Linked DNA regions of Danio rerio. The protein of the gene in region 3 interacts with the protein of the main gene of each other region in a biochemical or structural test. Links are inferred from orthologs where the notes say so. Each region holds a gene or a part of one and is shown on either strand. Other genes may lie near its edges.

Region 1 (8,095 bases), on a different chromosome or scaffold from region 3:
ACTGAACTCATATACATGTGTTTTACTCACTCATATCAAATTATGAAGAAAGCTTTTATTTTTCATCAGACTTCAGGGTTCAGTTCAGGTCTGAGATCCTCAGCGGACTACCAACAATGCCACTGTTGTGATGTTTATCAGAGTATGACCACAGCAGGACAATGCCATATATTTGTTCAGCTTTTGACTCAATTTGGAATGAAGCAGACTTGACAATGAGACTGATTCATTTTTTGCATCATAACACCTCGACTATTTTCATAATGTAAATGTAAAATGACTTACGCTTCAGCTTATGTGCTCCAATGTCTCTTCTAATCCATCTTTTCTGTTGTCTGTCTTTCTTCTCTCACTTTCTGTCTTTTTTCTGTGTTCGTTGAGATGTCACAACAGAAATGCATTCCTGTGTGAGTACAGCACGCTGCAGGGTTATCAAGTTAGAATCAAGCCCCGCCCCCTTTCCTCTGGTCACATGCAGATGAACAGTTCCTCCTTGTTGCATTATACACCACAAACCCGTAGATTTTCATCTATGCACTCACATCATGCTTTCTGCTTTGCATCGATCTGTTACCCAGTTTTGCCAGGGTGTTTGGCATTATGTTTCAGGCTAATGTTCTGAACACCAGGACAAAGGTCTTGCAGACAGAGCTGCTGGAAAATCCACACCCGTGAGGGAACTTTCTCAAATGGAAACCTAATCTTGTGTTGTCTGATAAACTCTGTAAAGTTTATGGCTTTTTATGTAGTAGATTGATCATTCCAAGCTATAATCGGGTGTGCTGCAGTACTTCCCACTCTACAGTTTTCAATTTATTTATTTTTCTCATGGTTGCTTTTTAATTTAAATGAGAAACTTGGCGAAACTGTGGTGCTTCCATTATGATGCAAATGTTGCCATTCTTGTGAAATTCTCTGCCGAACCACTTCTCTAAAACAAACAGTCATTCATTGTAGCACACGTAAAATATATTTTACAGTATGTAAAATGGGCGACACGATGGCTTAGTGGTTAGCACTGTCACCTCACAGCAAACTTGCTGGTTTGAGTCCCGACTGGGTCAGTGGGCATTTCTGTGTGGAGTTTGCATGTTCTACCTGTGTTGGCATGGGTTTCCTCCAAGTGCTTCAGTTTCCCTCACAGTCCTAAGGCGTGTACGTGAATTGAAGAAGCTAAATTGGCCGTGGTGTATCTGTGTGAATGGATATTTCCCAGGACTAATTTGCAGCTTGAAGAGCATCCGCAAGTTGGCGGTTCATTCTGCTGATGGATAATGGGACTAAGCTGAAGGAAAATGAATGAATGAATGAATGAATAAATGAACGAACGAACGAATGAATGAATGAATGAATGAATGAATGAATGAATGAATGAATGAATGAATGAATGAATCTACATATACACAATATGTAAAATTTTTACCTAAAACCACTGACCTGTCATCATGTCTTTCGTGTATTTCAAATAATGATTAAATGTTTTGCATGTGTGTTGTTGCATGCACTATAAATTATTATTTGATGTGGGTTGCCATAATAACAAAGTTTATGGATTTTGATTAAATAAACAAGAAGTTAGACACATAATAAACTGAAATTAAATTAGAGTCACTATTCAGAACATAATATCATTTGCAAGCCATTTATATTTAGTTGAAAGTTGTTGTCATTGAAAGTACAGCGGTATTCAACCACAGTAAAGACTAAATAAGACAAAAAAAATCATGTTTAAGGTCTTTATTGTGCAGTTTCTCTGACAAGATGTACACTGCAGGTCAGATATTTGGGGATATTATGATTTGTCAGGGTTTTTGAAAGTCTTTGCTGTTCATTGATAATGTAATTGATGTAAAATGTAAGAAATTGTATTTATTTCTGTAATTCGAAACATTGTCACTCCAGTCTTCTTGAATTATTTTGGTCTTCAATCATTACTACTGGTTCTCATTTTATCAGTTCAGAACTAAATGTTTCTGCTAATTTTAGTGGATATTTTAACTTAAAAAAAAAACACACACACATACACACACACACACACACACACACACACAATTGAACTGAAGTATAATGTTTTGAAACCTAAATATATTTACTGTCACATGTAATTAATTTAATGTATCTGTGAAAATGATTTGAATTGTGCTCTTACTCTTGTACTCTTAATATACGACTGTTTCCATAAAAATAAATGAACATTGATAACAATCAGAAAAAAAATATATTCAGCAGCAAATCAGCCTATCAGATTGATCCCTGAAAGATAATGCAACACTGGAAACAAGTAATAACAGCAGACATTTCTGCATTGACTTTGAATTAGTCAATTGACTTTTGTTTGAAAGTCAAATTGAGAAGTTGTTTTAACTAAAAACTGCATTTCAAAGTTTTTATTTTTATTTTACTTTTGTCCTGATGAGCAAAAGAGACGTCTTTCGAAAAAAAATGTTTTCAAATAAAATGTTTTTATCACGCTAGTAAGAAATACACAACCAAGACGTTAAAGTGTCATGAACGGTTATGAGAGCTGTGTGTAAGTGGATGATTCTCATAAGGATCGCCTCTATCACACATTTTGACTTTTATTATTACGCTGTACTGTCTCCTAGTGGTTGAATGACACTGTACTGTCCTCAACAATCAATTTTCTCTAATAAAAATGGCACTTGCGAAAAGAAAAAGCAATAATAAATGTATGATTACAGATTTTCGCTATAACGAGACAATTGATTAGACTCACCTACAACGTCACTAAAGTGATAACATAATTAATCTCGCAGTCAATGCCATCGCCGTTTGTTAAAAAACAAGCATATTTGTTTCTGACATGCGCGAATCCTCCGCCCATAAGTACCCTGGAGCACACTCTCGCCGCGGCCTCGCGGAGAGCAGAGCGCATGCGCATACCGCATCAGAATGTTGAGCAAAACGGACTAGAACAGAGACGGGAAGACGCGCAAGCAAATTCAAACATATTTTTTCTCCTTGTCGAGGTGAACGTCTGTCGACCTAGAATATAACTTATAAAAACATGACGGAGCCCCAGTCAGCACTGTTACTCAGGAGACAGCTAGCAGGTAATATTTGAAGGCTGTTGGCGAAGGCAGGCTAACAAACCGGTGAACGTTTTAGCCAGCCAGTACACCCGAGACGGAGCATTTTAGCCGTTAGCCGCTAGTTTAGCCGCTAACAAGCGCTGTGTTTATCATACAGCATTAGTTAGCATGTTAGCAGCTAAAATAGCCGGCTAAAGGCAAGCCCCGTCGTCTTTTGTTATTTTAAAATGCTAGTTTTGTACTACTCTTGCTAAAATATCAACATGAGAGTTTTTCTAACATAATTAAAACAACAATACGCGCACGTTTGTTTAGTGTTATTCGGTTTATTCATGTCAACATAAGTGTCAGTCACTTTTTTCCGTATCACACCGGCGGGGCCGCTCTCGATCGGCTACCCCCGTGTTTTGACATCTGTGTCCGGACGCAGTTTCCGCAAGAGAACCAGTCATCTTATAAATGGAGGAAAAGTCTGTCATTGGTCCAATTTCTGCTCACTGTCTTATCGTTGTCCGTCAAACCAATAGTATTATCGCACGGTTTAAAGGTGAGATTTATAAGCCGTATATTGTGTGCCATTACCCCGCATCGGGTTGATCAAATCCCTTTGTTTTTCTAGGCTGGCTAGCAGGCTAAAGCTAACAAATTGATGGCTGCTGTTTGATCACCAGCTCACCGGTACAGCGAGAACTGGAGACCCATAGTCTCTGTCACCATAGACCTGTGCGGGAAATTGGCTCTTATTAGAGTCGTTATGAGTGTTTCCTATTGTTCTATGCCCAGCACACACACACTGAGCAATATGATCCGCGAGTGTCAGCTTTACTGAGCTCAACCAGAGGAGGATTTCTCCACTGGGCCCCATTTGCGCAGTGCAGCCAGTGAAGTGAGTTAGTTATAGGGGTCAAACTAGGCAGATTACCTGAGTTTGGGGGTCTGATGAGATCAATTAAAAAGCAAAACAACAGATCTGCTACATGACAGCTGTCTCTTTGCCACAGACAGCTCAAGCAACCCCATCCCCCCAAATTACTCATCTTACACACACATAAAAGCAACTCGCTTGTTTCTTTCCAAGGGTCGCAGGGTGAGCGGCACCCCGGGCCTGTCATGGCGTCAGGTTCTGCAGAGGCCCTGCGCTTGATTGACTGATTCAGGGGGTCAGGGGCTGTTTTGGTTGTCTCCTTTCAGAAGAACCAGCATGGTGAACTCATCAGCCTTGATCTAAACTCAGTGAACCCTTCGTGAGAACAAAAGCCTCACAACGTTCATTAATGTTGGCCCGTAAAAGATACGGGCCAGGAAAATGCGGGCACAACTTGTGTGATGTTAATGCCATGTGTAGAGAGGTTTTTTTTAGAAATCACTCAAAAATTACCTTTAATTTTTTACCCACCCCAAGCTATTAAACATGTTTTGAGACTTTAAGTTGAAAAAAAATTAAGGTTTTGGGTAAAAACATTGCAGCGTCTACTAGAGCCGTGTGATTAATCGAAATCTAATTGCAGTCACCATTTGAAATGTTGCGATTAGCTAATCACAAGAGGCTGTAATATGAAGATATATTTGTATATTTTTAATTCATTTATTTCCCGTCCAGAGCAAACGCGTGACTGCGTTTTTGTGACAGTCTTACTAGACAAATTAGTGAGCACAATTGAGTGATGAGTGTCTTGCTAAAAAGTCAATTGAAAGTATTGCCAGGGACACTCAATTTAGTAGCAAGCAACAGCATAGTACAACTGCAGAGTTGTTTCAGACATGTTAGTTTGCTGAGTGTTTTTTTTTTATTATTTATTATTATTGTTTGTATAGTACGCTACACTATCTCGCTAACTTAAGTTGAACTTGTTTACAGAAAGTTAAGGTCATTTGATTTACTGTTCTATCTTTGCATACTGTTTCATCTTTTTGTTTACTTTTTGTCCTGGGAGAGAGGTTGGCTTTTCTAGAGAAAAATTTGTGTTTAATTTCTAAATATTTAAAAATAAATTTGATTAAGTAAGTTAATATCTTTTCTGTTTCTTTTTTTTTTTTTAAATAACGCTCACTGCATTTTTCCTGAAAATTTAATACAACTACCAAATGGTTTAGTTGAACCCTGTTCACTAGCATTAGATGAAGAGTTGTTTCCTTTTCCCCAAAACCTTGGCTGAAGAAAGTCAGTCATACACTGGTTGAATGGACTGCAGGATAGTAAATAAATTATGTATTTTTTTGCCTTCAGATAATGTTCTGTTATTAAAAGCACTACTGTTATGTCACTTTATGCGCATGCTTTTGTAACTTGTGGGTTTTCTTTGCCTGTCAAGCTTTTTAACATACATTGACAGGAAATTCTCTGAAAGTGATTCCAATGATATTGTATATCTGTGGTGTTATTGTTAAATCTGCTGTGTGGACATCTCTCTTCTAATTGAATTTGAAGGGTTGGTAAACCTTTCTAGTAGTGGCTGTCATCCATTCTTGGTTTGAACAGCCCTTTATGCTATTTGTGTGATTGTTGCTTAGGGCTGGTCGATATGGCAAAACTGCAATCTTGATAATTATTTTGCATATTGAATGATAACGATGTATATTGCGATACCAGTTGTTAATGCTTCCAGATTTAAAAGAGTATTCCAGCAATGACTGAAGCCACAAAAATTAGAGGGTCTATTAAATGGCATAGCATATTTTCAGCCGATACTTTTTCAGTGGCAGAAAATTTTGGGACATCTCTAACATCAACACACTTTTAGATTCTCGTTGTTGCACATTTCTGTTGTGTGATTGGCTCTTAGATCAATATAGAGTAAAAAGTCCAAAGCTTATCATTGTTATTGACACAAACTTCATCGCAATTTGATATAATACAGTTTATTGGCCCAGCCCTAGTGTTGCTATAATAACACTTCAGCACTCTTATATTGGAAGTAGGTTTGTTGAAAATACAATTGAGTCATTTAATAACCATCAGATAGTGGTAAAAAGGTGGCTTTGACAGAAGAGACTCTTCATATGAATGCCAGACTGTCTTAGTGATTCATGTGCAAAAATGACACATCCATATGACTGGATAACCCAACTGTCATCTTGTTTATGACTACAAGGTGGTCATGCAGTCAACCTCCAGATATTCTGTTGTGCTCCTTCTTGCAAACACACAGAAGTTCAGAGTATCTGAACAAACAGACAGGCGTTCTGTGACTAAAGAGTCGCTCAGCTGATCTGATAACAGACAGGCAAATTGGTCATTTCTTGTCTGAAATGTTGCCCAGATGTAGGTCTAACTATCAGAACTCATGTGAAGGCATGTATGCACCTACTGCCCTGAAATGCCCCAATTTGCCCTTTGAGTAGTTCCATGCAATTGTCAACCAAAGTTTTCACCAAAATAGCCAAAAGTATGATCACATTCATAAACCTCATGTTTATTTTCCTCATTTAAAATATGTTTACAGATTGATATTTTCTGAGCCCATGACACTGTGGTTGGTTGTTTTGTAAAATATAAACCGATGTTTCAATATAATATTAACTCATACTTTCTCTGTGAATTTGTTTTACGTTTTTACTGCAAATGTCACATCTATAACACTTTTCTGTACAAAGTGGCTAATTTGTACCTTGATGTCTCTTCCTGACAGAACTGAATAAAAATCCTGTGGAAGGTTTCTCAGCCGGTTTGATAGATGATAATGACCTCTACAGATGGGAAGTACTAATAATTGGTCCTCCTGATACACTCTAGTAAGTCTTTTTGTTGTTTTATAAAATGTTATGTTGTGTGACACCTCACCAAAATTAAATTATTATCAATCAGCTAAAGAATTAGATGATGCAAAATGTAAATTGACATTATTTACTTGTGTAGAGCTACAGTATAGGTATTCTCACAATCTAAGATGGGTCAGGTCAAGTTTATTTCTTGATCTTATACAATCTACAATGCGCCAAAGCTTTATTACATGGTAATACACAGTGTATCAGGCAGGTAGCAGTGCAGTTGTAGTATTAAGTCATGATGCAATGGGAAATTAACTGAATAAGTTTATGTATTTGTTGTGATGCCATACTGAATCAATTTAAGCTGTTGCCTTTCATTTAAAGGTTGTTCAATCACAGTATTATAAGCCTTTTATATTTTTCTGTTTACAGTGAGGGTGGTGTCTTTAAAGCCCATCTTACATTTCCCAAAGACTATCCTCTCAGGCCTCCTAAAATGAAGTTCATTACAGAAATATGGCATCCAAATGGTAAGTTTGCCTCCTAGGGTCTTTTAAATATTTAATATATTTTAATTATTTATACTTTTTTACTATTTTGTCAGCCATACATTTAATATCGTTGAATAAATACACAATTTTTTGTGTTTTTTTTTTTTTAGTTGGTTGGAGGGATGGGTTGCAGATTTCCAAAAAAAATCAAATATGAATTGTTCTTATAAATCCTTTTGAATCTCTGGCTGATATGGAAACTGTTTCGAATTTACACTGACAGACTTCGTTATAAATTCATCCGCATGCAGGTTTTTGTTTGTTGATTCCATTTGCAGCATTGTGGATATTTTTGATCCACTTAGGAAATATCTAATAATCTGCCAAACCTAAATACTGACATGCTCTTTATTAGGCTAATAATGACATGAGTTTTTTTTTTTTTTTGTCATTTTGTACAACATTTTAAGTTCTATATGTTTCTGAAACATTTACATTTTATTATTTGCTAGCTATTATAGTCATGTAATAATCCTTCAGCCACAATACTTATCTTTATATAATATTACTATGTTAATTAAATGATCATCATCAGCAAACAAAAATGGTTAATGTGGTATATAATCCACATTAAAATCTCATGTCCTGTCTCTGTATTGTTCTGCACAGTTGACAAGAATGGTGATGTTTGTATTTCGATATTGCACGAACCCGGGGAGGATAAATATGGCTATGAGAAACCAGAAGAGCGCTGGCTCCCCATCCATACTGTAGAGACCATCATGATTAGCGTCATCTCTATGCTAGCAGACCCCAATGGAGACTCCCCTGCCAATGTTGATG
Region 2 (7,623 bases), on a different chromosome or scaffold from region 3:
TTCAAATTCAATAGACCTGGGGTGCCCAGGCTTGGTCCAGGAGGGCTGGTGTCCTGCAAATTTTAGCTCCAACTTGTCTCAGCAGATCTGCATGGACGTTTCTAGAAAGCTTGGCTGTGTCTATAATTGCCTGCTACTTAGTAGGTACTGCATTTGACTTTAAATGAACTACTCGGCCGTTAGAAAAGTATGTTCTATACACTATGAATGTCACTAATATGAATAAAACTCGGATGTACTACATTCGACATTTTGACCACGTTTACACTGCCAGTTAAATGTGACCCAAATACTGTTCTATGACCGTGTAAACCAGTGGTCACCAAACTTGTTTCTGGAGGGCTGGTGCCCTACAGATTTTAGCTCCAACCGTAATCAAACACACCTGAACAAGCTAATCAAGGTCTTACTAGGTATACTTAAAACATCCAGGCAGGTGTGTTGAGGCAAGTTGAAGCTAAACCCTGCAGGGACACCGGCCCTCCAGGACCGAGATTGGTGACCCCTGGTGTAAATGAATGCATTCAGATATTCGGATATCAGTTTCAGGCCTCCATCATATGTGAAAATAAAACTAACATACTGTAAATCAGATATGTGGCAATGCGACTATCATGTAAAGAAGCAGATTGGATTTATTGCGGCATTTCGTTATGTACGTCATTAAAATTCTGACAATGTTGTACTTCTCTGCGGTTTAATGACATAGAAGGAAGAGCGTGTGTGCTCATCCTAAAATTTCAGACCCGCCACTCCTCATTAAAGCCCGCCACAATTTGCTCCCACCAGACATGAGATCTCTGTCGTAGCCACAGATCCCTCTGAATGGTGGAGGACACCATATATAAACCATAGGCGCAAGCATGTAATGACAGCTCTTTCCCTCCTTCTCTTCCTCCGCCTTAAAATCATATTAAAGTTGGGCGAACTTTGCATATTTCGCTGAGCTGAAAGCAAGACAACTTCTTCCATCATGGCTAGTGTGGCACAGATGCTAGAACCCGCCTTTACGCGTGCCAACAGCGTAAATTGTATGGCAAGTGTAAACATATGAATTGGCTACGGACAGGCAAAAAAATCAGATATCGGCAACAAATCAAAATTGGGCATCAAGACCTGACAGTGTCAGTGTGGCCTTTGTCATCATCATGTGACCTACCTGTGTCAGTTGCGTCGCTTCCATTCATAAATTCTCTTGTGGTGTATCATGGAATATCGTAGCGTCTATCTAAAGCGGTTGTTGCTAGATCGGATATAGTTGCCGCCAGAAGTTAACAAGAATTGTTTATATTATTTATTAAATTTCCCATTTATTGTATTTTATTAAGGTCTACCCCAATCCTAAACCCAACCGTCACAGTACTGTACAGATATTAATTATTGTCACACAGTGTCATAAAAAAGGCTGCTATATTAATGTGCATATCGCACTTCCAGCCGGCGGAAGTAGTAGGTCATCTGGGTACTTCTCGCATACTGTTTATTAAATTCTATGATATCAGACATACTACTTGGCTTGCATACTGTTTTAGTGTACTATATAGTGTGGAAGTATACGATTTCGGACACAATTTTTTGTAAGAGCTTGATTAGCTAGACCTGGTATGTCTGATTGGAATTAAAACTAAACTTTGCAGGACACCGGCCCTTCAGGATCGAGTTTGGGCACCCCTACTATAGACACTGGGGTCTATTCGAAGCTAATTCATTTTAAGTTTATGTTTGTTTCCTTTTCAGATTAATGTACTTAATAGTCTTATGGTTAGTTATATACTCTTTAAGAGTTCTGTTTTTAATTCTGGTAATAATTACTTACACTTATAGTGCTCCGATCCTCTGAGACTTTTGTTCATCTTCAGAACACTAATTTATATTTTAGTTGAAATCCGAGAGCTCTCTAACCTTCCATAGACAGCAACAGTCTCGAGATTTTCTGACTTGATGTGGAAGACATTGGCAAAACATAATAGTTTTGACCTTTTTTTGGTGCACAAAAGAGTTCTCGAAGCTTCATATGTTTACATCACCACTGAAGTTACATGGAGTGTCTTGACAAGGTTTTTGGTCATTTACTTATACTTGAACATCACATGACCATTGATATCCATGCAGAACAAAGGGGATCTCGTATGTTATCTAATATATCATAATTTGTGTTCAGTAGATAGTAGTAATGTTCAGAAAATGAACAAAGGTCTCAGGGTATTGAAACGGCATTAAGGCAACCTAGCCATTTAAACATCTTCAGAAGTAAAAGTAAAGTTCAACATTTTCAGATTAGCACACAAATACAGAAAAACTTTTAAAAAATGCAGTTTTAGTGACTTGAGATTTTCTCCTCTGCTCTTCATCTAGATGGGTCCTGGAGATGCAATAACAGGCATGAAGTTTAACCAGTTCAATACCAATCAGCTGTTCGTCTCCTCTATTTGGGGTGCTACTACCCTTCGGGATTTCAGTGGATCCGTTATACAAGTCTTTGCCAAAACAGATTCATGGGAGTAAGCGAATTCCTGTTATAGCAGTTAAGGCCGTTCTCCCCCTAGTCCAATGGTCTCAAACTCAATTCCTGGAGCGCCGCAGCTCTGCACAGTTTAGCTCCAACCATCACCAACTCACACCTGCTTAATAGTCTCTAGTAGTCTTGAACATCTTAATTAGTTGCGTCAGCTGTGTTTGATTAGGGTCAGAGAAAACTGTGCATAGTGGCAGCCCTCCAGGAATCGAGTTTTAGACTTATGCCCTAGTTAGTTTAAAAAAGATTTGCAGTACCAAAAACTGGCAGTTTTCTTTAATCAAATTCAATAATCTGTTATTTTATCGGGCATTTCTGTTTCTTTAGCTGATTTACAGCATGGGTTGTGCTTTAGTAACACAGCATCTAGTTTAAGAATTACTATTTTGTCGCTGATTGAACACGTTGGACCACATTACACCACAAGAATTGGTACACAGTTTACACTACAAGAGCAATCCAGGATGTGTTTTTATCTACCACTGGATGTGATTGAAAGTGGATTAACCTTAAAATGTTTTATTCCCCGTGTACACTCGTATATCGCAATGGCCACTCAGACTGGCAAAACCCAGCTTAGGCTGTTTTCGTTGGTAGTTTCATTTCAAATATCAAGTGAGTACTATATGTATTTGTGTGTTGTTCTTCTGATTGGTATGAAGTTGGATAAACGCTGTGATAGATCAGAGGACGAAATCATAGCTTTGTTTTTTTGTTTTTGTTTTTTTTTTTGTTTAGCTTTTAGCTATACTGTACATGACAGTGTTCAGTGTCAGTGTCTTGATTTGTCATAATTTTGTTGCTTTTATGTTAAGGTAATGTTTGTTTGTTGAGATAATATGCTCAATATCATTGTTGACCACTAGTAAAATGTATATTTGAAGGTTAACATGAACCTTCTTCTTTATGTTGTTGTGTTGGTTTAGTTGCATTGTCATCATCGTTCAACCCACTGTCATCATTGCCTATTGAGTCCAGCATCGTCACAGCCATTTTGAGTTTGGCACATTTAATGAGCGTGTTTTTGTCTGTTGTGTCCATCCAGAAGGGAGCAGGTGACTTTATTGGGGGTATGAAGTTCTGCCCCAGAGATTCATCTAAAGTCTTTGTGGCTTCCGGTGATGGCACAGTCAGCGTGCAGAGTTTTGAGGGCCTCCAAAGTCAGATATTGTCTCGTACCCCAGACTGTGGCCATGACCACCATGATCTTTGGTGAGGATGATGCTTGTGTGAATGTGTTGTAAATATTTCAGCTGTGTGACATTTGTGGTGGTGTCTACGTATTTCTTGTAGCTGTTCTGAGGGAATAACTGCATGTAGGATAGGTTGGTTTTCTGGACTGAGATTGTTTGCGATGTTTACATCAGAAAAAGTCTCTTTTTTTTGCTACTTTGAAAATATTTTTCTACCTTTTCACCTCAACTGCCATATATTATTAGGTATAAATAGGATTCTATGTAATTATGTGTATACTGTTTTAATGCCACGCATTTCACTCTCCTAGTTACTGGTACTGCTGTGTGGATGTGTCTGTTAGCCGTCAGATGCTTGCTACTGGGGACAGTACTGGAAGACTTCTCCTTCTTGGCCTGGATGGTCATGAGGTAAACAAAAACGAGACGTCCCATTTTGGATTCCACGTCAAATAAAATTTACAAAATTGATTTGTATTTTGTATACACAGAAAGCATACTAAAAGCAAGTGTAGTATATGATAAAAAAATGTCAAAATACCGGTGAAATAATTACATTGGGATTTAGGGTAACATATATATTTAAAAATAAATGTGCAAGAGTAATTGGTGTATCATTCTGCTGTGGCAACTTCTGATAAAAAAAGGGAATATGCCAAAGGAAAGTGAGTGAGTGAGTGAGAATAAAACCGCAGTCACATTCACAGAATTTGTCACGATTTCCTTGACGTAGGGTGTTGCGTCGTGATACAAGATTCAATTGTTTTTTCTCATGTAACGTGGCACAGTTCATTACAACCAATACCATGCCTGCAACACCTCACGACACCATTGCAGAAAGTCTAGCATGTTTCATTTTTTTTCTGCATTCTTCACGGTGTGTTCCGTCACGTGCGTGACACTGTGCAATAGGAGTGCATAATTATATAACATATATATAAATTATAACAGCGAGTGCTGCAGTCAATACGTGTTTTGGCACATATAATAGACTTGTTTCAAAGCACTTCACCTCAAATGTTATTGGTTATTCTTGTTTCTAGATAACTAACCAACAAAACATACATTACATTGAAATTAAGATAAAAATTCTAGCAAATTAAATTTGTTTCAAAAAGATAATTTTTCCATAAAAAATATATACATTATATGTTTGTTTGTGCCCCTCCATTACTCAACTATATGGGTGGAGGATTGGGTTTGCTCTTTGGAAAAAAAGGATTTAATGAATGCTTGTAATAATGTTGTATGACAAACCTCATATATTTGCTAATTTTTAAATTGGTCATTATTTTAAAGATTATTTCTTGAGCATCTGATTTTTCCTTGCAGCTGATGTGCTTTCCTTTTTTCTGTCTCACTCGCAGAAACCTCAGGCGAGGGTGTGTTGTATAAGCAACCCTGGCAGGAAAATATACATTTTAGATTTTAAAGAAAATATCTTCATAGTAAAAATTAATTATAAGATTGATCCTATCCATGTCATAACGAATGCCCTCAAATAATGTAGTTATTAGTTGTCAGCAATCTTCAATGTTTATTGAGATTGAAATAAAAACATTGAAATTGAGATTAAAAGAAAAATAGTTATAGACACACTTGTGACTGCTTTTAGACAAAACGCTCAATGTAGACAACAAGGAATGACTGATCATGAAGGAACATGTAGTCTGGTCACCCACCACAAGTCAAGATTTTATCAAGAAAAATTATCACATAATCTGACATAGTAACTATAATATCCGAAGATAAAAATTGTGTGATCTGACATGGCCTGAAGATGTTATACTAAAATACATTTTGTACAAGGCCTAATAATTTATAGGATGGTGGCAAAATAAAATATTTAAAATGCAAATGAAATTAGTATTTTGATGCTGTAACTTAGTATTTTGGATCCATAAAAGTCTTAATATGTCATCAAATTATTCTATTTTTCTAAATATCCCTGATAAGATTTTTGGTTGTAAAGATAAACTATTGTTACTTTTAATGGCAACATGCACGTTATTTATTAAGATAATTCTTTGTGCTCTTATTTATTTGATTATTTATATTGTTTCATGTTTATGGGGGGACAGGGACATTTTAAGGTTTTTATTACTATTGTGTAGAGCAGTGTTTCCCTACCCTGTTCCTGGAGGCCCACCAACAGTACATATTTTGGATGTCTCCCTTATCTGACCCATTAACCTCAGGTTTTGGAGTCTCTTCTAATGTTCTGATGAGTTGATTCAGGTGTGTTTGATTAGAAAGAGGTTAAAATGGGTACTTTTGGTGTGCCTTAAGGAACAGGGTTGGGAAACACAGCTGTTGAGAGTTGATTTATATTTTTCAATTATTTTAATTTTTTTGCCCAAAAATATATTTAGATTTTCAAAGAGAAGCTGCACAAAGCCAAAGTGACCCATGCCGAATTCAACCCTCGCTGTGATTGGCTGATGGCAACATCCTCTGTTGATGCTACAGTCAAGCTGTGGGACCTCCGGAATATTAAAGACAAAAACAGTTACATCGCTGAGATGCCTCATGAAAAACCAGTCAATGCTGGTAAGGGACCATATTATCAGAAAAGTGAGGAAAGGAGAAAGTCACCTGTACAGTAGCTTTAAATACTAATACATTCAAATGAACTATTTTTGTCAGCATACTTCAACCCGACAGACAGCACCAAGTTGCTTACTACTGATCAGAGGAATGAGATCAGGGTGTACAGTTCATACGACTGGTCTAAACCGGATCAAATAATTATTCATCCTCATCGGCAGTTTCAGCACTTGACTCCCATCAAGGTTAGAAATTTAATGCATTTCTTTCTTTACAGGACTGCTGACATCATGGTTATACTTTGCTCCATTTTTCTATTTTTTCAGGCAACCTGGCATCCCATGTATGACCTCATTGTGGCTGGCCGTTACCCAGATGATCAACTATTACTCAATGATAAAAGAACTATTGACATTTATGATGCCAACAGTGGTGGACTTGTGCACCAGCTGAGAGACCCCAATGCAGCTGGTATCATATCTGTAAGCATGCTGTTGTTTTTTTTAACTATTTATACTATACCATGCTACCACTCAAATGTTGGAATCTTTAATGTAATTGTTTAATGGTTGAAATTAATATAATAATAAATTTGCCAAATGATGTTTAACAGAGCCAGGAAATGTTCACAGTATGTCTGATAATATTTTTTCTTCTGAAGAAAGTTTTATTTTGACTAGAATAAATGCATTTTAATTTTTTTAAAGCAATTTTAAGGTCAAAATTATTAGCCCCTTTAAGCTATACATTTTTTACATTTTCAATTTACAATAACTTTCCTAATTACCCTAACCTGCCTAGTAAACCTAATTACCCTAGTTAAGCCTTTAAATGTCACTTTAAGTTGTTTAAAAGTGTCTTGAAAAATATCTAGTCAAATATTATTTACTGTCATCATGGCAAAGATAATATAGATAATAAGATAATAAATCAGTGATTAGAAATGAGTAATTAAAACTATTGTTTAGAAATGCGTAAAAAAAATGTCTGTTTATTCTCCGTTAAACAGAAATTGGGGAAAATAATAAACGGGGACTAATCATTCTAACTTCAACTATATGTATACTGAGTGTGTTCTTCAAGGTGTCTGCGCGCTTCACGGTTCATTTACAAAATATGTCCACGTCTATGATTCGCAGAGAACAACAGCCAATCACATTGCTTTTCCAGGGTTGCGTAAACCCGATTGGCTAGCATCTGCTCTAGGGTATTTGCATGGAGCGATCTAACTGGCATCTGTTTGATGATTTAACGTTCAAGTGAATCTTTGATGTTGGCATAAGAACATTTTAAAAATGACTTTTAATTATCTGAAGGCAGTTTAATTCTGTGAACCATCTTTATGTGTAAAGCTACATTCAGATATGT
Region 3 (8,322 bases):
TAGTTTGATCAGAGTGAAAGGAAAAAAAGGAGCAAAAAATAAAAGCCTGCCCTCTACTAAATATAAAACACACCATCATTATACTGAAAAGTCTGCAGAAGGTGAGTCCAGTTCCTGTCAACCCTCCTGGACATGAGCATTATTTGTCTTTTTCACTTTATTGTTCTAATGAAACATTCTGGCAGAAAGGTTTTCTTTTTCCTCCTCATTCACTTTCAGAAATCTATTTTATACAGTGGCCTGTTGAGCAAATCATTTCCTACATGTTTTCTGTAGGAAAATCTAATCTACAATTATAATGATGTGCTTGTTTGGCATTGTACTGGTTTCATCAGACATTGTTTTCTATGCTTTATTGAGTTGTAAGTATTTACAGCTTTAGATGTACATCAGATTAACACTCAAAATCACCATTGTCTGTGGATAAAAAGTGTTGAATAAATGTAGAGAAATACTTCATTAGCCATTCATTAAGACATTAGAAAGCAATGCAAATGGTGTACACCCCACATCTAGTGAATATGGAGCAATTTCAGACACGGCTCCTGTCTTAATGGAATAGTTCATGCAAAAATGAAAATGTGTTATCCTCTACTTTTAGCCCCGTTTGAGTTTCTTTTTTCCGCTGAAAACAAAAGAAGCTTTACTGATAAATGTTGGTGGAAAGCAGCCATTGACTTCCATAGTGTTTTTTATTTTATTTTTGTTCATACTATAGATGTAAATGCTTGTTTTTTCCCCTAAATTCTTCAGATTATCTTGTTTGTATCGAGAAGAAGAAAGAAAAACTAATTTAAGTGTAGAACCACTTGAGTGTGGGGAAACAGAGGAAATTTTAAATCAGTGAGAAAGTTTATCAGGCCCACTGTTCATTCACTGTTTGGGCAGTTGGCCAGAGCTGCACTCCAATTTGGGCTTTAGGTTTTGTTTTGCATCCATGCACTAGCGCTGACAACAATCATTCACTTGCTTTTCACACTGATTGAACATACAGATACTGCTGTTTTGATTTGTTATTTACAATTGTGTTAGGATAAATATTATTTTGGACTTTATTTCACTGTGTCGTCTCCCCTAATGCTACATCTTTGAGCCAAGTGTAACAAAGCAGCTGATAGGTTTAGAAATCTGTGCTAATGAATGGATCATTGCATCACTTAAATGATTCATTCAAAAATAGATTCATTCAGGAATGAAACTAAACTGTTTAGTTTGTTTTAAATATTGTCTGCTGTGGTACAGGAAATAAAGTACAATACTGCATCTAAAATATAGCTGACTCATTAACTTACATTACATATTCAAATCTTCTGACTCTACAATGGAAGATTGGAAGAACAATGCTTTAAATCTATTTTTTATGTTTTGTGCCAAGTAGCTGTATAATAAGTGGAATAAAGTACAACCAGGCAGGCATCATCACAGAATAAAGCCTTTAATCCACAAAGAATGTTGGGCTTGATTCTGTGATAACCGTCTGGATGTACTTTATCCCTTACATCATAGGTCTCCAACTCAATTCCTGGAGGGATTCCACAGATTTGCTCCAACCATAATCAAACACAGCTGATCCATATAATTAAGGTTCAAGACTACTCTTGAACACTTTCATTAGTTGGATTAGCTGTGTTTAAATAGGGTTGGAGCAAAACTGTGCAGAGCTGCGGCTCTCCAGGAATTGAGTTTGAGACCTATCCCTTACACGAAGCTTGTGAATTTGACTTGATTTGAATGAAGAATCAAAAAGACTTACTTCTGAAACTCCCACTCTCTGTTGTCCAGTGGACACACTTGTCTGGTCTTCAGCCAGCGGGAGATGCAGTGGAAATGAAAAGCGTGCTGCAGACACACACAAAAACAAACACACCAGCATTACACCAGCACCAAACAAACCCAGAGCTCAAAGTGTGTGTGATTATACTCACATTGCAGACTCCCCAGGCCACCGTACACTCCTCTGAGGTGGCAGACGCCTGATTGGCCTGACACTCAATACCTGAAGCAAACACAAGAGTTACAGATCAGCTACAGCTCATCTAGACCAGTGGTTCCCACAGTGGGGGTTAAACTTTGACACCTTTACAGCTTTCACATACATTAAAAATAATACAGGCTACAACAGAACATGGAGCAAGCTCTCACAGTGGCAATCTCTAAAATTAAACAATGAATAGATTTGGGCCTACTGGTATGTGTGCAAGGTTTAAATATTCATCACCACCTTAGAGAATATTGGGGGGTCGTGAGTAGGCATGGGCCAGTATAAGATTCTGACGGTATGATTACCTCGGAAATAAATTTCACAGTATCACAGTATTGAGTACCTCACAGTATTGAGTATTTCACAGTATCACAGTATTGAGATAACTGCTCTAAAATATAATCTTTTTAAATATCTGGGTACAAAACAAAACCCTTTTCCCCTTTGTACACACTATATGTAAATTTGGGAAACATATAAAATGTTTTGGAGAAGTAAACATGTCAGGCTAAATAATTCTAATGAATTATTGACTTCTGCTGTCTTCATTTGTTTTAAAAAAATCTGATTATTTTTACAATTTAAAAATGGCATCTTTGGATATCTTTTCTGGAGATACTACTGTCCTAAAAATAAAAAGTAAAAAAAAGATCGAACTCATACCTTAGGAACGGTATAGGAGAAAATTTTGAAGGCTTTAAAACCTTGACCTTTCCAAACCTTGATATACATTGAACACGGTTTTCATCCCACGGCTAGGCGCGAGTCACTGGCATTGTTATTTTGGGGGTCGTGGGCTGAAAACACCTGATCTAGACTAAACCTAAAAGACTAAAGCAGCTGTTATACTTACAGAGGTCCATAATGTGATTTCTGCAGATGGCACAGTTGTCCACTACAATGTCCCATGCCCACAGAGCCACAGCGTTCCACTGCAAGACAAGCAGAGTTTATAATCATAATCTTTATTAAAAATGCTAACAGCACCTTTTCTCTTAATGACACATGTACAGACACAAACTAAGCCTAAATATCCTCCACCAATGAGCAGCGCTTCCACTCAGTTATACATCATAATGAGGAAGAAAAGAAGCCAGCAGCCATAACATTTGTAAAGGAACATAGTGAAAATAAGTTGTGAAAACAGTATGCGAGTACAGTATGAAAACTTATTTTAAAAACATTTTTTAAAAAGTATATCTAAATTCAAACCGTTCACGGTGATCGTTTTGAATCCAGATTACAAATTGGTAATCTGGAAACCAACTACAATATTCCACAAAAAATATACATTCAGAAAGGGTTTATGATGCCTGAAACTGTTGGAATTGAACATTGAGAATGAGCTTGCAACGCCTCACACTGTTGGAAACAAATATTTGAAACAAGTTTGCAATACTAGAAACTGTTAAAAATCAAGCATTTGGAGGGTGTTTTCAATGGCTGACATTGTTGAAATCAATATGAAAATGAAATGGAGTAACATTAGGTATAATATCTGTCTATAACACAGGTGTCAAACTCCAAAAGGGTCAAGTTCCAAAAGGGCCGCAGCTCTGCACAGTTTAGTTCCAACCCTAATTAAACACACCTGATCAAACTAATAGAGTCCTTCAGGCTTGTTTGAAACCTACAGGTAAGTGTGTTGGAGCAGGGTTGGAACTAAACTGTGCAGGGCTGCGGCCCTCCAGGAATTGAGTTTGACACCCCTGGTCTATAACATTCAAACATGTCCGTACCTAGCTTTTAAAAAGGATGCACACAAGTCAAAATTTACTTAAGTAATAAGTATAACATAATTTATTGTACATTGTATACACTTATAGAATGTTCAATTCCGTGTGTAATATGTGAAATTCACTAAAATGTTTGCATCGAACTTTGAGGGGGGTAAATGTGTTTAAATGGAATGTTCGGAATGTCACTATGGTGACTAAAAGTGATGGAAACGAACGTTGGGAACATGTAAATGACGTCTACCGATAATCGAATAGAGCGTTCGGAATGCGTCTATGAACCTCAAACGGTTAGAATCGAATGTGCTGTAAGCGGCTGCAGTGTCCACAAATCTTGCCTAAAAAACTCGCCAAGGTCTGGGAATGATCAGCGCTGTATTTCGTTCTTTAGTGGCCTACTTCAATAATCTCTGGGATTACGCTGCAGAATTTATCGGAGTTCAAATAAGAAGCACATTGGGCGAGCATGTAACATATTTTTGCTTGACATTAGCTTGTACTCATTTTTGTGACACTTTATGAGGTTTTTGTAAACATGAAAAGCATAGAGGCCGGTGATTAAAATGATGATGTGAAAGAGCAGCGCGGCTAATGCTAACTGGGTTTAACACACCGCGGTGAAAGAGTGTTATTTTAATTTTAAAGAGACTAAACGGATGTGAACAAACAGTTGACAGCAATCATTAACGTGAACTTCACAATTACTTACCTTTTTCACTTCAAATCGCTTTTTACTGGCTCCGCTGTTAGCTCCACTTGGGGTGTCCACATCCATCGCGGCCGCCATGTTTGCTAATGTCTGATGATCTCGCGAGAAAGAGTGAGAGTGAACAGCTACTCGGTTTATAATCTTTTACATGTAAACGTGTGAATTAAAGCAATTGTGTATACTATGATGTTTTTAATATCATTCATATATTTTTTTTTATTCCAGTTTAATCAGACACAATCTAGTCCAAATTACAGTCGAGTTAAAAGATTAGGTTCCACCGAGATTTGAACTCGGATCGCTGGATTCAGAGTCCAGAGTGCTAACCATTACACCATGGAACCTGTTGGAAGCTAAGGCCCACTGTTTCCAGATTTGTACCATCTACAATACCCTACCACTATTATAAACTACATTGTCGGAATCCTGCATATTATATAATTATGACCGTGTTCAACATACATCAAATCAGTGCAGTGCAAGTGCAGAGCTTTGAAATGATACAGGAGATTACATGTTACCAGGATTTACAGATAACATTAAATGCCATCTATATATTTTTTTATTTCACATATTCATATTTGCTTTTTTTTGACAAGTTTTGCGAACAGCTACCATGTAGACTTATGTAAACTATACACAATTCGTAGTTTTTCCACTATTTTACACATTTGTTTACATATAAAGTGACGTTACTGGAATGCTCAACCGACTTAACATGTAATATCATACAGTTAAGTGCGTGACAAATATATATATATATATATATATATATATATATATATATATATATATATATATATATATATATATATATATATATATATATACATATACATATACATACTAACACACACACAAACACACACACACACAAAAGCATATAACGTTACACAAGTATTTTCAGAGGCCCCAAAACACTATTGTTGTGTGGATGCATTAAAATTGCACAAATTTTGATTCAACAAAGATTCAACCAAAGAATTACCTGTAAACAAATCTGCAGAGCTACTACCACATAGTAGCTAGCTAATAATTGTATTGTTTAAACAAAAAAACACACATGTACGACTACTTAATCCTAACAATATAGTCATCAATATGTATATATTTATCGTTATCTCTTAGTGTGGGCAAGCCAGCATAAGCAGTTAAAGCATTTAAAGACAATAGTTACTTAAGAAAAAATATGATCTACAGACTTCACACAGCCTCCATTTTAAAAGCGAAAGAGAGTCTGCAGTGGAAATAAACCTGGAAGTAACGCCTGGAGTCACACAGGAACGGCATCCAAGATGGCGTATTGTTGTGTACCTGGATTTATATCTTATCAGTGAACACAAATTTATAATTTCACCACTTTCCGAGTGACCCGAAGGTCCTTTCTGAATGCATGGTGAAAATAAAAAGGCATATCGGACCTTATTTTCCCCTAAGTTAAGGGAAATGGCACTAGTTAGCAAATGTTTTCTTTCCACCAGTGCTTAACAGAAATGACTGTGATTGGTCGTAAAGGTCATCAGTTCACTGCACTTCACCAATGTTTACAGAATGCAAACGCAGACAAGCGATCTGCTGATGACTTGACTGAACTTTAAAACGCTCCAGTGTCCGTGTATCTGTGTTTGCACTTGTGAAGAGAGGTAAACTGATGACAATCACCGCCGATAACAGTAATTTCACCGCAGATCAGCGGAGTTTAAAAACGTGCTCAACGGCGCTTAAATGCTAGCATGTTAAATGTTAGTTTTTTAAATTTCAGTACCGGGACAACAATATTACTGACAACACAATGGTGTGCTAGAGAGGACTGCATTGTTTTATCGCTCACCGGGTTACATTGGCTGAAGCAGGTAAGCGTCCCCGCAGTGTTTACCTGGTTCCATAAACTGAAGCCTAGTAAGACACTTAAGCGTATAACTTTAAAAGAGATTGTGGTTTTGTTTGAGGCCTAATGTGCTTTTTTTTGTTAAATTAAACTTAACTGAATGTTTACTCCACATCTACACTTTGAAATCGTGGAAACAGCAAGAGGTTTGTACTCCACAGCATGTTGTGGAGTACATGTTTAACGTGCTGATCCTATTCCTCTGGGTTTCTTCCCACCGCAGCCTCGCTTTCGCTTTCATTTTTAAAAAATGGGGGCATATGGACTCGTGCACTGGATTACCCGTAAACAAATCAGCAGCACTACTACCCCTTAGTATGATATCTATATCGTTTAAATCAAGAAATCCTATTGCTCATATCATTGGCAACTTCATTTTTGGTCGTCTTCTTTTTTTCTTGTTTGGCCTGGTCATTTTCAGAGCTCGCTCTGGTTTGAATTCTTTAGATTTGGTTTTCTTTGGTGTCGCAGCTATCTTTGTCTTTGCCAGTTTCAGTTTAGCATAAGATGGTTCTGTGGGCTGTGTGGGGTTGGGTATGTTGGGTTCATGGGCTTTGGTTGGGATGGAGGTCTCATTAAAGGAATGAGCATTTTCTATAGAGCAGTTCTTATAGATGGCAGACTCCATTACAGACTGACCTCGAAGCTCGGAGGGGTAAAAGCACACCGCCTCAACCCTCAGACTCATCTTCTCCAACCATCTGAAAGAAAGTTGAGATACATGCTTACATGCCTAAGTACTTAGTGATGAATGTTTATTTTGAAAGGCTTATTTACCTACTACTGATAATTACAGAAAATTCAAGATTACAAAATCAAACAATATAAAAAAACAGATAAAACAGGGCTATTTGACTGTGTTAATTGAATAGGAAACATATAAACATTAGTTTTATGTCTATTTTTTTTGCTATGGTAGGAACGAAATTGTCGCCACATATTCCTACAGTAAGAAAGTATAGTGGGTTTAAACAGGTCAACCTTTAACAGCAGATTTATTTCACCATCAACTCACAGTAACCTAAATATGATTTTATCATCGGTTCCAGACACTTAAGCCCCAAGGATATCCAATTCATTGCTCATTTTGAATCAAATTGAAATTTCAATTAATCATTAAATTAAGTTAAATTGAGTTTTACTCTGATTTAATCATCTAAATCAGTGAACCTTTAACTAGAAACAATCACTGTATTCTATTTGGAAGGTATGATCCTTAAGCCCTAATCTCTTTCAAGGGTTTACACTCCAGACAAAAATCTTTGATGGCATTCTGGTATAGGGATGAAGACACCGGCCCTCTATGACCGAGTTTGGACACTCCTGCTCTAGAGGAATTTTTATTCAGATTTGCATTCTGGTATAGGGATGAGCTAGAATAAAAGGAATACCATGTGCGACAGCAATCAACTTCCCTGCGCAAAGGATGGGGTCCCAAAGTGGCCATTGGTTGTGCCATTCAATTTTGAGCACTTTATTTTGGAATGGCAATTTAATATGGCTGCCATTATTGTTTTCTCTCCCAAGTGTCCTTTGGAGTGTGATAGATCCCGTTTGGAATGCACCATCACTCTGACCTGATCATTTAAATCACTGAATCATGAATGTACCACTACATCTCAAAAGATAAACAGAGAGACAGATAGACTGACGCACAGATTACCTGTAAAATGGTAGCAATTTGCAGTCACACATTAGTGGATTTTTGTTGAGACTGAGGTTTTGAAGTCCAGCAAGAGGTGAAAGGTCAGGCAACTCCTCCAACAGATTGTCTTCCAGAGACAAAGACAGCAGACGAGGACCAAACCCTGCCAGAGACCTCACACTCATCTGTTACCACCAACCAAAGAAAGACAAATAGCTTAGTCTAGTATAAACACAAGAAAGGCAAAGATTTGCTGTTATTACTTCAAAACAGGGCATCTCCTCTACCTTTTGAAGACCCATTCTATCAATGAGCAGGTTCTTTAGACTTTCAGCCACCACGCGAAATGCTCTGGGACCGATC
Region 4 (7,623 bases), on a different chromosome or scaffold from region 3:
TAATGATACAAAGGATCTGTTTGTGCTCAGAGAATTAATTATATATATAAATATATATATATATATATATATATATTTATATATATAAATATATATATATATATATATATATATATATATATATATATATATATATATATAATTATATATATATATATATATATATATATATATATATATATATATATATATATATATATAATTATATTTATATATATATATATATATATATATATATATATATATAATTATATTTATATATATATATATATATATATATATATATATATATATATATATATATATATATATATATATATATATATATATATATATAGAGAGAGAGAGAGAGAGAGAGAGAGAGAGAGAGAGAGAGAGAGAGAGAGAGAGAGAGAGAGAGAGAGAGAGAGAGAATAATGTTTCTATAGGGGGTTTGTCAAGCCCACTCACCTGTGTTAAGCACACTTGGAAAATGCACATGGGTTTTTTAAGAGATATGGAGTGATTGTTTAAAAAAAAAACTGCAACTGTCAGTTAAAGTGTCAGAGAAATTAAAGATTGTGTTTTTTTACTGGTGGTTTGTCAAGCCCACTTACCCGTGTGAAGCACATTATGCAAAATACGTTCATTTATATTGCATTGAACTACAACAAATCATATTCTGCTTTTTACAGCCTCCCAAAGTGAAGTGCTTGACTAGAATATGGCACCCGAACATTGCAGAAACGGGCGAGATTTGTCTGAGGTGTGTATATCTATGATAGCCATGTCTTCAGATGTGTTTATGCAACAGACTCTACATTGTCCTTTTTACTGCTGTGTTTATGTTGTTGTTAAAATCTCTCCACAGTTTATTGCGAGAGCATTCAATTGATGGTACTGGATGGGCACCCACTCGTACTCTAAAGGTCTTTTTTTTTTTATGTCTTCTTGGGGAATTTATTTGTATGTTTGTTTTCTTTCTTTCTTTCTTTCTTTCTTTCTTTCTTTCTTTCTTTCAATAACTAAACATTTGGGTTTTAATAAGGAAGTATGATTCTGACACAGACGATCTCCATAAACTGGCATTTTTAAAATGTCATTTTACTGAGTGTTCTTTTGCGCTGGCACTCCAGGTCTGGTTTAGAACTTCCATGAATAAATAAGGCACTAATATCACCCCTAGGTGGAAGCAAGTCTGTTTTAATGAGGGATCGTTGTCATTCTTTCAAATGATCCATTTTGAACTGAAGCAACAGACTCTTATTGAGTGGATCATTGGACCATCAACTTAGGGTGCTTTCACACCTACACTTTTGTTTCGGAACGTATCTCGTTTGCCCAGTTAGCGCGGTTCGTTTGGCATATGTGAACAGGGCAATCGCGCTCTGTTCCGCGCCAAAGTAATCGCTCCGAAATCGCTTGAATGAGGTGGTCTCGGCTCGATTGAAACGAACCCTGGAGCGGTTCGATTGCAGTGAGAAAGCGATCCGATCCGAGCGCGGTTATATCACTCTGTTTTATGGATATGTAATAGGCATATACGGCTATATATGAAGAGAGAATTATGAGTAGGGCGGGAAGTTTCGCGAGTCTCCGGATGCCCGCAAACAAGTGATGATCTCCCGGTAATCTTGCGTCTCCCTCCCGGTCCCCAAATAGGCATCGTCGCGCACCCTTCTCACCCCTCCCCACCGCGTCTCTCTTCAGACACGTCGCGCGCACCCTGTCAATGACCACCAAACCACCACCTCTCCTGACAGCTGAGAGGGATGCTGCAAAATAAACCCTGACACTCTGACCAATGTAAGGAGAGTTTACTCGCACGTGACTTGTTTTAGCTCTTTTGGTCCGATTAGAAACTTTGCAGTGTGAAAGCGAACCGCTCCAAGAGCAAAGGGCAAGAACAACTGAATCGATTCACAAGTGTGAAAGCACCCTTAATCAAAACCATATTAATTTGCTCTAGAAGTTTTCTGCTTTAGCTTTGTTTGGAATTATTTTTGTTGCCAAAACAAAAACTAAAAATTGTCTTAAATGTGAGTTACTCGGTCCCACTTTATATTAAGTGTCCCTAACTACTATGTACTTACATTAAAAAATAAATATAAAGTACTTACTGTGTTTATAATGTATTTGAGAGCACTTGTGGTGCTTTTGAGTTGGGATAGAGGTTGGGTTATGGACAGGTTTGGGGGCATGGGTAGGTTTAAGGGTGGGTTAAGGTGTAAGGTATGGTTAACAGTGTATTTACAAATGTAATTACAAAAGTTAATTACAGATGTAATTACAGACATGTATTTAATCAAGCATAAGTACACAGTAAACACATGTATTTACACAATAAGTACATTGTAACAAATTATTATATCCTATGTAAGTACATATTAGTTAAGGCCACTTAATATAAAGTGGGACCAGTTACTCAATATGAATTCATGTTTGTTAAACTTGTGTCACTGTAGCTATGTTTCGATCCAAAAATGTGAATGAACTTTATGCGCAAAACTGGATTATCGCATAAAAGACGTGCGAATAAAGCAGTTTTTCCATCCAACAAGTCAAAGCGAACAAAATCCTCACTTCCTGATTAACTGGTGCCAAATATCAACAGTAAAAACACAATTTGCTTAGGAGAAGCTGCGTCAATCTTCATCGAATAAATGACTTGCGCCTCAGAAGGCAATCCTGACACACAGTGAACACACGGTGGCGTTTGACATTATCAGATGCAGAGCACAGATGCTCTTGACTCTGGAGGTCAATAATAATAACAGAATACTATATTAACAGTAAGGGGGTTTAGAATGACCAAATCAACATTTCAGATGGTTTGTCCATTTACACACATTTGCATCATCACATGATCTCTTATCACAAAATCACCTGACCTTTTTTAATGCACACACTGAAATTTGTTTCCATTGTAGTTTATGCGCATCTTTTCTTATCGAATAAAACGTTTATCCTACTCAGTTGTGCTCATAAGTTTTTTATGCACATTTTCAAAATGTATGCGAATCATGGGGTTTCCATTAACCAAGAAAAAAATCAACTGTTAGTAAAAAAAAGTCATGGATTTTGTGTTAAATCTGGATGGAGTATTGAGAGTATGACTAGAGCTGTTTTTTGTGTCTGTAGGATGTAGTATGGGGACTGAATTCACTCTTCACTGTAAGTACAGATTTTAGATAATAATGTTTATGTCATCATTCTGTGTAAAAAAAAAAAACAAGCAATAGAAGTTTCAATTTCTCTCACAGGATCTTCTTAACTTTGATGACCCACTGAATATAGATGCAGCAGAGCATCATTTACGAGATAAGGTAAAACACCAACACATATTAAAACATGCTTCCTTTAAAAGCATAACTGCTATGAAAAAAACTAAATAATGCGGATATTGCATATACATTAAAAATTATTCAACTCCTGAATTTCTTTTTCAAATATTTTACAAATTATGTTGAACAGAGCAAGGATTTTTTTCACAGTATGTCCTATAATATGTTTCTTCTGTAAAATATTATTTCAGCTGGAATAAAAGTAAATGTAAAAACATTTTGAGGGCCAATAATATTAGCTTACTGAATACAAACCCAACAGATCACTCAGATCTTTAGGATCATATAAACTAGAAATTCCAAAAGTCAAAGCAGTCAAAGCAGGGTGAATCTGCCTGCAGCCACTATGCCCCTCGCTGCTGGAATCAGCTTCCAGAAATGATCAGATGTGCACCAACATTAGGCATGTTCAAATCAAGACTGAAAACACATCTGTTTAGCTGTGCCTTTACTAAATGAGCACTGTGCTTCATCTGAAAGATCATACTATTACGTCTTTCTTTTTTCTCATTCCTTTTTAACCTGTTTTAACATATTTCAATCTGTTTTTATCTGTTTTCAATCACTTTTATTCTTTGTTGTTTTTGTTTTTGTATTCTTGTTTCTTTTCAAGAGTTCACACTTAGATATTGCTTTACTGTATGAGCACTGTGCTACGTCCGACAGATAGCACAATTATGTTTTTCGTTTTCTTTTTCATTCTTTTATAGCCTATTTTAACACATTTTAAATTGTTTTTATCTGTTTTTAATCATTTTTATTGTCTGCATTTTATGTCCTAAACTTGTCTTTTTTATTCCTGTTTATGTAAAGCACTTTGAATTGCCACTGTGTATGAAATGTGCTATATAAATAAACTTGCCTTGCCTTGAGCAATATTTTTTTTTTTAGATTGTCTACATTACAAACCAACATTATACAATGATTTGCCTAATTACCCTAGCCTGCCTAATTAACATAGTTAAGCCTTTAAATGTCACATTAAGCTGAATACTAGTATTTTTAAAAATATCTAGTCAAATATGATGTACTGTCATCATCGCAAAGATAAAATAAACCAGTTATTAGAAATAAGTTATTAAAACTATCATGTTTAGAAATGTGTTGAAAAAAAATCTTAAAGAGAAATTAGGGAAAAATATATTTAGGGGGACTAATAATTCTGACTTCAACTGTATGTATTATACATAATCATACCTCCCATCTCTTTTTAATCAGATACACATGTACAGAAAATTCTTTAATGCTTTCTGTTTTAGGAGGATTTCAGGAACAAAGTTCAGGACTTCATCAAAAACTATGCAAGATGATGTGTGTCTGCCACGCGAGCCACTCTCACATGCATGTGACCGATGTACGTCGATCAAGACTGCAACCGAGGCAAAATCTCATTATTAAAACATTCTTCGGGGAGGGGGGGGAAGAAGCAAGTTAAAATAAGTGTTGAATGACACTGCGAGTCACTTCTCAAGATATTTGGGAAGGATCAGGGCCGTACTGTCTATTTTTGATGGCTTATTATTATTATTTTGGTGTTATTTTTGAAAGATCTTCTCAAACAACTTTGCTTTTACTCCCCCACGAAAAAGAAAAGTAAAAAAAAAAAAAAAAACGTACAAAGATGGTGATCATGAAAACAAGGCCGCGCAGCCTCTCTGATGTCACCTCCTATATTCTATAGTGCCTCTGTGTTTTTGCCACATATAACTGGACATCATGAGCCAACTTTTGCAGCCTGCTTCCTCTTAAAACTTGACAAACACTGAGATTAATTTGTTCATAAGTGATGTCATAGAAATCCCAAAGCTCCATTGGTTCATTTGTTTGTTTGCTGTGGGGGAGGAGTCCACCAATGAGGAATCAGAAAAAAGAAGAAGAAAAAAAAAAAAACATACAGCACTGATGTCAAGCAGAAAATATCGGTGGTTTTTCGGACGGATTCTGTAAAGCCATTTCTTGAAACTCGGCACGTTCCGTCATGTAAAGTCACCGCCGTTATCAGACTACTCTATCACATGTGCACACATGCAAATATCACAATATCTGTGGGTGCCTCTGAGTTACCAAACTGTTTTAGTTCAGTTCTAATCTGTGAGAAGTTTGTGGGTGATTCTCATGAACGTTCAGCTTCCATTTTCACCTCGAAATCGAAGAGGAAAATCAAATAAATATATTTTCCTTTAAATTAAAATTTGTTTTCGTTTAAATGAGAAACCAAGCATGCTTTCCCCCAAATTCAACTATAATAAATATATATATATTTTTCTCTGCATTAGAGCAATGCAAATTTTGGGGAAAATTATGCTTAATTGTTAACATTCTTATCACCGCATATTACTTTAGATTTTGGGGTGAAATATTACCTGGATGTGTTCTGAACTGGCTTCATGAGATTCACCTTTTGCTCTTGTATGCATTTTTTGTCAGTGTATACACGTTCAGCTTTACCGATGTGTGCATGTTCACGAGATTACTTGTATGCTAGTATTGTGTTTGTGTGACAGTGAGAGTATGTGTGTGTGTGTGTGTGGGTGTTTGAGCGGGAGTGACTGGAGATTTTAAAACATGTCTGATCTGGTAGCATGCACTGGGCTACTGAACCGCTCAGCCATAAAGCCTGTTCAATTAGTGAGGATTTATTTTATTTAATTTGACTTTTTTTCTCCTTGGAGGTGTATATCCATTTGTAAAATATATTAAAGAGGAGTTCTACCACTAAAAGGAGATTTGGAGTAATTTGTGTGTACACTTTTACAGCTTGCGTTTATAATTTGTTTTCATAAGCCACATGTCAAATTCGGTTTCTGGAGGGCCGCAGCTTTTCACATGCAAGGTCCCAATTCACATACTTATATTAACCTACTACCCAAAAGTGTGTACTTGTTTTGTAAAGGAAAAGTATATACTTTTGAGTGTGTAACAGAGGAGTATGCAAGCTACTTTGTTGTTATGTTGCTTAGTTATCATCTCGACGCATCATCCACATTTCTTAGATATTTAATACCTTCCGTATTGGAGAAACAGCAGCAGGATAATCCGCCATTTATGGGTCTTCATGCAGGGAAATCTCATGTTTTTTAGGTAATGATATGCATTGAGAAGTTAATGTCCAAACATATCTTGATATAAGTTCACATTGTTGTTGTAGATTAAATATAACTAGGAAAACGCGATTTAAACATGTTGCAGTTGGCTAAATATTAATTAATAGTCATTTTTAAACAACTTTACTGAAGCCTCTACTTGATGGTTGGTCTCGCGCGTCCGCCATGTTGGTAGTTTGTTTACACTTTTTTACCCCCCGTTTGTAGTTTTGTGGGCAATATTAGAGTGTAGGCGCGTGTACACCTTAAGAGATTTTACCGAAAATAGTAAACCATCCAGAAACCTTTATACCCTTTTCAACATACTATAGTTTTGGACATACTAATTCTAGTTTCTAATACTATTTAGGATGGATAGACTGCGAATTTGGACGCACCAACGCAGCTACAGTTCCAACCCTAATTAATCACACCTGTTCAAACTAATTAAGTCATATAGGCTCGTTTGAAACCTACAGGTACGTGTTGAAGGAGTGTTGGAACTAAACTGTGCAGGGCAGCTGTTTGACCCCCCTGTCAGAATATTTACGTGTATTTATCAATGGCTTTGTCTCAAATGGAGTGAGTTGCATTTAATTTGTTCTCATAAGCTTTAAGCGTATTTTATCAATGGTTTTGTCTCAAAAATTGAGTGAGTTTACTACCTAGACCGCATTTTCAAGCATTAATGTGAGTTTGTCTATAATGACAAAACTGGTTTGCTAACACTGTGATTGGAAATGTATATGTAGACCTTCGTCCATTAGCACTGGCAGTGTCTCGATTTAGCGAGCTTCCTAAAAAACACATTTTTTGTGCACTAAAAAAGCTAATTTGCAAATGATGCACAAAAGTGTTAGGCAGCTCATATGCCTATGTTGGCAAGTAAATATCACATAGTGACTAATTAAAACAGGGGTGCCCAAACTTTTCCTTATGAAAGGCCAAAATCCAAACTTCAGTGATGGCTGTGGGCAGAAGGTAAATATAGCACACTGTAATAGAGTTGCCATGAGTAATTTACTACTTTATTTTTTCTAATATTTAAAAACAAACTAGAAAACATTGCTTTATATAAACTAATGCAGTATAATTAAAAATAATAATAATAATTTATATATATATATGTGTGTGTGTGTGTGTGTGTGTGTGTGTGTGTGTAATTTATTACAGTCGACAATTCTTACACAATACACAAGTCCAGCTTTTGCATTGAT

The links.
Region 1: the proteins of rbx1 (region 3) and ube2g1a form a complex in vitro, tested with the Homo sapiens proteins (8 studies listed by BioGRID). The link is inferred for Danio rerio from reciprocal best matches to the Homo sapiens genes RBX1 and UBE2G1.
Region 2: the proteins of rbx1 (region 3) and ddb2 form a complex in vitro, tested with the Homo sapiens proteins (2 studies listed by BioGRID, with this or other methods). The link is inferred for Danio rerio from reciprocal best matches to the Homo sapiens genes RBX1 and DDB2.
Region 4: the proteins of rbx1 (region 3) and ube2f form a complex in vitro, tested with the Homo sapiens proteins (2 studies listed by BioGRID). The link is inferred for Danio rerio from reciprocal best matches to the Homo sapiens genes RBX1 and UBE2F.

Annotation. Positions count from the first base shown.
Region 1 is NC_133180.1:31,601,753-31,609,847, forward strand, and holds the start of ube2g1a (ubiquitin-conjugating enzyme E2 G1a), read left to right. Parts: upstream 1-2,910; 5' UTR 2,911-3,028; coding exon 3,029-3,074; exon of another isoform or gene 3,075-3,600; intron 3,601-3,672; exon of another isoform or gene 3,673-6,682; coding exon 6,683-6,785; intron 6,786-7,193; coding exon 7,194-7,291; intron 7,292-7,921; coding exon 7,922-8,095. UniProt on the Homo sapiens protein: Accepts ubiquitin from the E1 complex and catalyzes its covalent attachment to other proteins. In vitro catalyzes 'Lys-48'-, as well as 'Lys-63'-linked polyubiquitination. May be involved in degradation of muscle-specific proteins.
Region 2 is NC_133193.1:21,858,058-21,865,680, forward strand, and holds part of ddb2 (DNA damage-binding protein 2), read left to right. Parts: intron 1-2,355; exon of another isoform or gene 2,356-2,495; coding exon of another isoform or gene 2,496-2,501; intron 2,502-3,560; coding exon 3,561-3,727; intron 3,728-4,019; coding exon 4,020-4,119; intron 4,120-6,080; coding exon 6,081-6,258; intron 6,259-6,354; coding exon of another isoform or gene 6,355-6,372; coding exon 6,373-6,500; intron 6,501-6,581; coding exon 6,582-6,737; intron 6,738-7,623.
Region 3 is NC_133178.1:23,846,814-23,855,135, forward strand, and holds the start of rbx1 (E3 ubiquitin-protein ligase RBX1), read right to left. Parts: upstream 4,540-8,322; 5' UTR 4,505-4,539; coding exon 4,427-4,504; intron 2,914-4,426; coding exon 2,835-2,913; intron 1,997-2,834; coding exon 1,926-1,996; intron 1,840-1,925; coding exon 1,754-1,839; intron 1-1,753. Other genes in the region: chadla (chondroadherin-like protein), read right to left, coding at 6,670-7,015, 7,978-8,144, 8,247-8,322. UniProt on the Homo sapiens protein: E3 ubiquitin ligase component of multiple cullin-RING-based E3 ubiquitin-protein ligase (CRLs) complexes which mediate the ubiquitination and subsequent proteasomal degradation of target proteins, including proteins involved in cell cycle progression, signal transduction, transcription and transcription-coupled nucleotide excision repair.
Region 4 is NC_133176.1:8,067,629-8,075,251, forward strand, and holds the end of ube2f (NEDD8-conjugating enzyme UBE2F), read left to right. Parts: intron 1-674; coding exon 675-745; intron 746-850; coding exon 851-908; intron 909-3,120; coding exon 3,121-3,153; intron 3,154-3,242; coding exon 3,243-3,305; intron 3,306-4,582; coding exon 4,583-4,633; 3' UTR 4,634-6,042; downstream 6,043-7,623. UniProt on the Homo sapiens protein: Accepts the ubiquitin-like protein NEDD8 from the UBA3-NAE1 E1 complex and catalyzes its covalent attachment to other proteins. Together with the E3 ubiquitin ligase RNF7/RBX2, specifically neddylates cullin-5 (CUL5).